Oryzias latipes: one gene and its partner. The protein of the gene in region 1 purifies or fractionates together with the protein of each later gene. This does not show direct contact. Links are inferred from orthologs where the notes say so. Each region holds a gene or a part of one and is shown in the gene's direction. Other genes may lie near its edges.

Evidence for each region. Proteins that work in one complex are often made in the same cells at the same time.
Region 2: the proteins of fam192a (region 1) and psma1 purify together in Homo sapiens (affinity purification with mass spectrometry; 3 studies listed by BioGRID and IntAct, counting the BioPlex papers as one, with this or other methods). This does not show direct contact. The link is inferred for Oryzias latipes from reciprocal best matches to the Homo sapiens genes PSME3IP1 and PSMA1.

The regions. Positions count from the first base shown.
Region 1 is NC_019864.2:25,012,664-25,017,235, forward strand, and holds the start of fam192a (protein FAM192A), read left to right. Parts: upstream 1-1,491; 5' UTR 1,492-1,593; intron 1,594-2,126; 5' UTR 2,127-2,132; coding exon 2,133-2,259; intron 2,260-2,334; coding exon 2,335-2,433; intron 2,434-3,088; coding exon 3,089-3,210; intron 3,211-3,508; coding exon 3,509-3,648; intron 3,649-3,751; coding exon 3,752-3,840; intron 3,841-4,572. UniProt on the Homo sapiens protein: Promotes the association of the proteasome activator complex subunit PSME3 with the 20S proteasome and regulates its activity.
Region 2 is NC_019864.2:7,544,868-7,549,416, reverse strand, and holds the start of psma1 (proteasome subunit alpha type-1), read left to right. Parts: upstream 1-1,503; 5' UTR 1,504-1,675; coding exon 1,676-1,678; intron 1,679-2,517; coding exon 2,518-2,562; intron 2,563-2,663; coding exon 2,664-2,765; intron 2,766-3,002; coding exon 3,003-3,106; intron 3,107-4,183; coding exon 4,184-4,272; intron 4,273-4,435; coding exon 4,436-4,506; intron 4,507-4,549. UniProt on the Homo sapiens protein: Component of the 20S core proteasome complex involved in the proteolytic degradation of most intracellular proteins. This complex plays numerous essential roles within the cell by associating with different regulatory particles.

The DNA.
Region 1 (4,572 bases):
ACAACCTAGAAAGATTTGTTTATGCAGCTTGGTTTGGACAGTTGGCCTGTCAGGGTTTAGGAGACACATCTTGTCCTCCAAAGGTGGAGAAAATATTCTGAAAGATTTTCCCTAAAGTACATGTCCACAGAAAATCCAAGAAAAACTTGAGAAATCACCCCAAACCAAAATCAAATCAAATCAAACTTTATTTATAAAGCACTTTTCATATAAAAATATAACACAAAGTGCTTTACATTAAAACACAACAAAGTATAAAAACAAGCATTGACGATTTAAAAATAAATAAATAAAAATAAATAAATAAATAGGGCCCCCCTCCCCGTACCTAGCCCCCCACTCCTTTCACACCTCCCACCCCCTAACTGATGGCAATGGACAATGAGAAATAGGCCGAGTACAAAAACAGGATGCTGGAAACGCTAATAATTGGAACCTCCCCCTCCGTGAACGGCCGCATAGACAGCCAATAAATATATAAAATAAATATATATAGTTTTATTTTTTACAATAATCTATAAAGTTTTAATGATAACAATGTTAGTAAAAGTTTCATCATCACAAATGCATCAACAACTATTATGGTTGAAAACACAAACACATTAATTTATTTCATCTTTACAAAAATATTTTGCAACAAACAATTTAAAAGTACATGAAAATAATAATCAATAACATGTGTTTTTTGTAGATATATAGTTGGGATAGGTAACACAAATAAAATGATGAAAAGATGGACAAAAACCTATTTTAAAATGATTCAAAGCGCACATTTCAGTGCAGTCATATATGAAGACGATTAATAACAATAATTTGATTTAATTTTGATCCAATTTATATGATGTGATGAGGAAAAAAAAGGCATAATCCGATGAAAGAGATCAAATGTAAGAGTGAAATTTGATTTTACAACAAAAAAACAGTCAAAATTATTGATGTTTTACAACATGACATCCCTCCTATAAAACCAATTAAACTAGTATAATGTGATATTAAAAATCTAAAGGGGGTTGTCCGGCAATATCAGATTAGTAATTGTCTTTTTTTATTTTAAACATATGGTATTTATGTTTTATAGTTTAACAATATTTTGTAAAATTATTTTAAAAAGTTCAGGTATTTTTCCAAAAATTTATTCAAAAAAATTTAAGAAAGAATATTTTTGAATCACTCAACATCATCTAAAAGGGATGTGTCGTAAATGTACCTTATCTTGGAATAAAAGCATAAAGTGAACACAGTGTACTTATGTGCATTAAAAAATTCCCGGCTCCATTGTTGTGTGTATTTGGCGCCATCTCGTGGTCACCACAAGAATAGAATGAACACTTCTTAACGTTATGCGATTCAATAAGTCGATAAGATTAAATCCCCTATAAAAATACATATATTTTTATTGATGATTTGACATCAAAGTTTTTTTAAACTTTGTTTCTAGTTCAATGAATAGTTTTAAAATGTATTTTTAATATTGTTTTTTTGGTTTCGTTTCAAACTATAACCTAATAGGAACTATCTGGCTCGTCCAGCGTCGCGACGGAACGATTTTACTGCAACACAACCCGTCTGGTGCTATTTAGATCCTTTACGGTGGTGAGTTTCTGCCACAAACAAATTGTGTTTTTAAAACATTTCAGCGTTAAAATCAATGCTTTTCAGTTTCGCTTCTGAAAGTTTACCTCTTAAAACGTGACAATGTCGCGTCTTCTGCCTCGATCGTTGGAGGATTATTAAAGCTAGCCGAGCTAAACAAGCTAGCCGGAATCCTGCAGGAGCGAGCTGTGCGATCACACCGGTCACATTTGACATGTTAAGCTCATTTGATGTGACATTTCTGGATTTTTTTAAAACTGCTTTAAATGTTTTCTAACTACAACTGAGTTGATTAGTTTGAGTCAGAATGGGTTAGTGTTCTGGCTGCAGAAACCAATCTGCAGGAAAAGTGAACTTTATTAAATTTATCTGAACACAAACAACAAGTCCATTATCAGATAAGGATGTTATCTAATTATGAGAAATGTCACTCACACACTTAGATTGTTGGCCTATTAAAGAAAAGGCGAGGATAAGGATGATGATCGCTCTCAGGTCTGTAGATAATCTGTAGTAAACATGTTTGTTTGAAGGGTTTCATGGCGGGAGCAGAAGCAACAAACGTGGACCTCAGCAGGAAGTTTGTGTCCGAGACAGAGCTTGATGAGAGGAGGAAGAAGAGACAGGAGGAGTGGGAGAAAGTCCGGAACCCTGAAGATCCGGAAGGTGAGAAGATCCTGCAACCGACGCTTGGCGCCTTCTGTCTGTCGGCCTAACCCCGGGTTTGTTTGTGCTCCTCAGAGGCGCCAGAGGAGGAGTACGACTCACGTTCGCTCTTTGAGCGGCTGCAGGAGCAGAAAGACAAGAAACAGCAGGAATTTGAGGAGCAGTTTAAATTCAGTGCGTCTTTGACTCCCATCCTTCACAGAACAGAATCAGACTCAAAGTTTGCTGCTTTTTACGAACTGATGGGAGGAAATGTGAGGAAATCTTTTTCCAGTAAACTTTTAAAAATGGACAGGAGAAAACTAAGCTGTTGTTTATTAAACTGAAAAACAGCCTAATGGCAGCATCCTTTTCTCCACACATTTTAAAAACCCAACACTTTATGTAAAAATAGTTTAAATCAGAACCACAGAGTTGTTCTTTTTGAGACACATTTCCAGAATTCTAACCGATAGAGATACTTTATTGATCCCAGCTGAGGAAATTCGGTTGTTGCAGCGATTGATACAGGCTCAATAACAAACGAGTGACAATCGGGGAAAAAATCCGTTTGGAAACAGCTTTAGAAAAACAGATTTCGAATGAGTTTATGTATGGCAAAAAGGATGATGAGTTATAAAGTCTGTGGAGTGAGGTAGGAAGGATCTGCTGTAGCGGTTGGTGTGACAGCGAAGCTGCCTTAGCCTCGTGGGACAGGCGCTCCGCTGACCGTCAAGTACAGGATGGAGAGGATGCTCAGGATTATTCATGATGCTCCATGATAACTGTGCGTCATATCTGAGCTGACACGCCTCCGCCCCTTTTCTGTGGTGTGTTTCCATGGTGACAGGGAACATGGTGAGGGGATTGGATGAAGATGAGAGCAGCTTCTTGGATGAGGTCTCACGGCAGCAGAGCCTGGTGGAGAAGCAGCGGAGGGATGAGGAGAAGCAGGAGCTGCTGGAGTACAGAATATCCTCCATCACTTTTTTATGTTAATCCATAACATCCCTGATGATTGCCTCAACATCTGTTAGTGAGCAGATTTTTGTAATAAGGAATCTTTTATGGTTTTTTTCGTTCATCTTCTTCCGTTTTGTCCCTTTCGGGGACATGGGGCTGCTGGAGCCTATCCTTTTATGTTGATGCGTGCAAATGAAGATCGTGGTTTGATCAGCATTTGGTGTTAGTCTCTGCATTTCAATTAGAGGAGATAACCCCCCCCCCACATCTCCACGTTGTTCTGTTCTCCTTAACGGTGAGCTTTCACAGCGCTTTAGTGAAGCAGCCGGCTTCAGAGAGCCACAGAGAGCCAGAGAAGAAGTCTACTCCCAAAGCTTCAGCGACCGAGCCGAAGACCAGCCACCTGTCTCAGGCACACTTATTAGTCGGGGCTGTGAAGAGACGCAAGTACGCAGAGGAAGAGGAAAAGTTTCCTTCACTGGATTTCTTCAGCCTGTTGTCTTACTTACCTTTTTTTTTTAATCTGATCTTGTTTCCGTCTCTTGTTCAGCTCGTCACAATCGTCAGGAAACAGCAAGAAGCAGAAAGTGGACGGAACAACAGAAGCCTCAGCGACAGGAAACTCAGACAGACTTACAGGTGAGCAGAAACCAAGCTGCTGCTCCTGAATTTACCCTGGAAACTGAGCTGCTGCTTCCTCTAAGAGAGACGTGTTTGTCAGAAATGATAAAAACACGGTCATGGTGCACGGTGGAGTAGGGGGGATTTGGGTTGGTTTACAGCTGCAGGATCTTGTTGCCTTTTAGTCTCTTTAGTCAGTTGTCAACATAGAAATGATATTTGACATTTAAAAAAAAAAAACCTCAATGATATAAAGAGAAACTCAGGAAAAAAGCAGCCAGAATCTCAACCAGAAGTATAGAAGATCTGAGTGATGTCATGCATACGAAGGTAATTAGGCTCTTTACAAAAGTACTTCAAATAATTGTTTTAAATTTGCACAGCTTGCTTCAGTTTAACTTCAATCGATAAATTATTTATGTTAAGATGTTTTTCTAAGATGTTTTCCCCTCATTTTTATTACAAAACCTATTTTTCTATTTTGACCTTATGTGTTTCTGAAGCTTTTTCATGTTTTTACAACTGTTTTTGCAGGAAAAGAAATTCTCTAAAACCTTTAAAAAAAGTTAGTCAAAAACAGGCTTTTCTGTTACTTTTAAATACTTTTAAAACAGTGCAAGAAAATGAGATGAAATAGAGATTTTTCCAATATAACAGCACTGAAAAGGTAAACAGATGTGACACAAACTCTTAAGTCAATTTGGAATTCAAGTTTGGGACTTAAATGATCATATTCGTGTTTTCAGAGTT
Region 2 (4,549 bases), about 17 Mb from region 1:
TGTTACTTTAGGAAAATACTTATTTACAATGGAAGTGTAAAGACAGCAGGAAAATGGAAAAGGGGTGGGCTTTAATAAACTCATGCCCACATTTTGTTAGAAATATTTTCATTCTTTCGTTTTTATTGTTATGATGTCATTTAATGTTTTTATTTATTTATTTATTTATTTTTTATTATTTAAACAGTATTTCCTTGCTGGAATTGTATCTGCATGTTAGAAGATAAAATCAATAAATTAATCCCCCCAAAAAGTTGTTACCACAATACAAACTTGAATGAAGAAACAGTCAACCCTGACGTTGGAATTAATAACATTGTTTTGTTTTGTTTTGCTTCAATACTCTTTATTTAGGATTCTTTTTACCAAGAAATGTTGATGCAACCTCTTTCTCCATTTCTCGGCTTTCCTTCTTCAAATTCATGTGTAAAGAAACCGCAGCGGGGTAAACGGTGACTATAACACAAATATGACAAATGCTGCTGCTGTTGTTCGCCTGTCAGCACATCCCTTCAGGGGTCACCTCAGAGATCAGCTTTCAAATAAATAAATAGACTACAGGGATGATGTGGAAATGATGTGAATTTAACCTGTCTGCTCTGAAAGCTCGTTAAGTAATTGAACACAAACTTCCTACAAAATCACCAGAGGGTGAAATATTCAGACTGAAAACAATATAAAATCATGCAAAACTTTATTATTTATTTGCAGATTTTTGCAGGTTTGCTGCACTGTTTTTTATCTTTGTTTTAGTTGATTAAAGTTTTAGAACAATAAAACTACTAACAGTTTTCTTCATGTCCAGATACAACTGTCATTAAATCAGTGTCTTTAGCACAATCACATCTCAACCATGTGGTCCAGATAGTAAATTATGAAATACCACCATTGCAGAATAAGATGCCGAAATCAATCTTTGGTTTGAAGCATGTGCAGTGACATTTGGATTTTCTTTTCCTTTGGTAAAGACATGCATGTTTCACGCTTAACCTAGTACTGTTGCACAACTAGACATGCTTGTTTTAAAAATATTAAACATCAAAATTGATAGAAAAACATTTACTCTTTAGATACTATTTGACCATAAAGACTTTTATAGAATTTGTTTCTTGTGAAATTATTGTTTATTGTTTTTAAAGTGATGGTTTTTGTACCCCAAAAAATGTTTAAAAGGAAAAAAAAGGGAAAAAATAAGGAAAAGAATTATTAATATTAAGTATTTCAGTGGGGGTTCAGTGTCTTGCCCAAGTATTAAGCATCTTACACAATATTTTAAATAATATGGTTTTTAATTAGTCTATTAACTGGTATGGACGCCATTAGGTTAGTAACGTTTTTTTATATTTTTAAAGTTTAGAAGAATTGTCTAACTAGTATTTTAATTCTGACGTATTACTTGTGTTTTGTTTATTATGTTGACATTTAAACCACGAGTCTGTTTGTTTGTGTTTTAATCCTATTCTATTCTATTCTATTCTATTCTATTCTATTCTATTTTATTCTGCTCTATTCTATAGCTCTGCTGGTTCTGTTCGGCTCTTCAAAGGCATCGATCATTGAAATCATCGATCGTTTGAAATCGGCTTTCTGCTGCTTTTCCCTGCCGTCTGCCGAGGAACCCAGGAAACTAAATCGAGATCCCGGCGCAGGCGGAGGAAGCGAGACTTTAGCAGAGATGGTAAGTGTGAGGGAAATTTAACGACAAATCCTCCGTTCGGTACCAGAAAACGTTTCTAGGAATGTAAGAAAACGCATTCGATCCTAAACTGTTACTTTTTAAGCCTCAAGAAATTGTTAAAATATTTCCATGCTAAAGTTAGCTTAGCTAAGTTGGTCTGCACTGTGAGTAAGCAAAACAGCCGCTAACATTAGCTTTAAGTATTAGCTCACTCTAAACAATAGAAGTTAGTTAAGTACTTTAAACTGTTAAAGTAAAACAGGTTTAATAGTGAGAAAACATTGCAAATAGCAGATTAGAAATGTAATATTTTTGGAATACCTTGTTGCGAACAAGCTAATCCTAACAGCTAGCTAAAAGTTAGCATCGGGAGTCCAGTCATGTCTTCACTTTCGTTTTTCTTCAGCTCTTCGCTTTCTTCTAGATTTAAAAACACAACGTAGTCCGTCAGTTATGGAGTTACAGCCATTGGGATCATTTCACGTATCATGATGATGATATTCATATTAAATCATTTGATTTTATTACAGATAATAAGAACCGAACTAAATTAGTAGAAGCAGCAGGTAGCTAGCTGGTTTGCTGCATCCACTGCTGGATTCAATCGTTTTTCTTGAGGATGACACGAACAGGTTGATTAATTATTCAGTCTGTAGTAATTGAAACGCGTCCTTCCAATCCTTATGAGACGTTCTGACCGCGAACACGGTGCAGTTGGTTTGGAGTCTAGAGACGAGAACACTAACCGTACTAATGCAGGACAACTATGTAAGCCTGGCTGTAGATCATGAGAAGGATGCTGTGTTATTATCATAACGCGCGTTTGTGTTCCCTCCTAGTTCCGCAATCAGTACGACAACGACGTAACGGTATGGAGTCCTCAGGTAAGCTGCCCTTTACTTACTGGAGCGTGTGTTGTTGTTTGTGTGTTGGTTTTGTCCGGCTGTGTGTAGTTTGACTGTTTGGTTTGTCGGTGCAAACGCAGGGCCGCATTCATCAGATCGAATATGCCATGGAGGCTGTGAAACAAGGTTCTGCAACCGTCGGACTGAAGTCCAGAACTCACGCGGTCCTGGTTGCACTTAAGGTAACGTCACTCAACACGACTAGAACTGCTGCCAGCCTCCATTACGCTGAAACGGCTCTTTTCACGTGCTCAACTCTCCTTTAGTGTTATTTGAGCCTTAACCTCCATGACAGTGTTTGGTTACACCCATTAATATTCATACTAGCCGGCACTTTCCTGTCTTTCTTATTAATTAAAACATGTCGTTAAAGATCTGTAACACACCACACATTACTGTTGTGCCTTTTTGGTCTGCAGAGAGCCCAGTCTGAGCTGGCTGCCCACCAGAAGAAGATCCTTCATGTTGATAACCACATTGGCATCTCCATTGCTGGACTGACGGCGGACGCTCGGCTGCTCTGGTGAGTTGCAGCGACTTCCATGGACCTGAACATTTTTTCCATGTTTTCTTGTGTTAAACTTCTTGTGTTTGGGGAGAAATGTCACTTTTCATGGGTGTCAACTGTACATCTAAACACTAACATTGGTTAATTTATGGCGTTACACAGATGACAAACAGATATAGAAATCACAGGAGAGCAAGGCCCTCTACAAGCTCTTGGTAAAAGTATTTAATATATGAAAGACTGGATGTGCCTCAATTACTTCAGCTGAACAAACACAAAACTGAGGTTATTGCCTTGGCTGATGTTATTCGCATGTATTTACTTGCAACCAGCACAAAAACTGCAGCCAAGATGCGCATTGCCTGCACGCATTTTAAGTGCATCCATTTTTACATTTTGTCGTATTTAAAATGAAAGTTAAAGCTACGCTCCTGGATTGGTGAACAGTGTTCTCTGCGTTTGATCCATCCACTGGAGAAGCGATGAGCTGCAGAAACACATATTTGGAAAATGATGAATAGACACTTTTTGTTGTGTTTGGGGCTAAAGAGAAGTGGTTTGATGTCATATAGAGCTTCAATCTATTCATCTAAAAACCACCAACTAGGCCAGAAACATGGGTGTAGTCATGGATACAGTCCTATGTTTTGATAAATGCATTAAGGCAGTCACCAAATCTGCAGACTAACATCTTAAAAATAGTTCAAGTATTAAAGATCGGATGTCTTGAACAGAGCTTGGAGAAACTAGTTGATGCATTCACGTTTAGTGGACTTGATGACTGTGACAGTGTTTTTACAGGACTAGCAGAAAAACCAATCAGGAAACTGCCTGTAGAGCCGATGAGAGCCCAGTTCACTTTTCTCCTCTCTAATAATGAGAAACAACCAACAGGCAGCTCTCATTCTCTGCCCGGACTACAGAATCCGGAAACAAACAAACGTTGCAGTATGGAGCTCTGTTCTGTAACGATGAAGAAGCAGCTGAATGTTTGCTGTTGGCCTCATCATTAGCAGCATCTACAGTCAAGTGCTGAGCACGAACCTGAGAACGGCCTTTTGTCTGAAGACCAAAACCTTTTCTGTCTTGCAGTAACTTCATGCGTCAGGAGTGCTTGGACTCCAGATTTGTCTTCGACAGGCCTCTCCCCACATCCCGCCTCGTGTCTTTAATCGGCAGCAGTATCCTCTAAAAATACACTCTCCTGTTCAAGGAGCTACGTTACAAGAAACAAGAAAAAGCTGAGTTTGTAAAACTAAGTTGGACAACCAGGAGTTGGGTCTTTTCTGTTAGATTGCTTCCAGAAATGGAAACGGCAGCAGTGATCCTTGACTGAGTTTACAGAAACCCAAATCCCAACACAGAGGTATGGAAGGAGGCCCTACGGAGTGGGACTCCTCATTGCTGGCTATGATGTGAGTACGCTCATGGTTTTAATCTTATTTCTCTCTACATTCA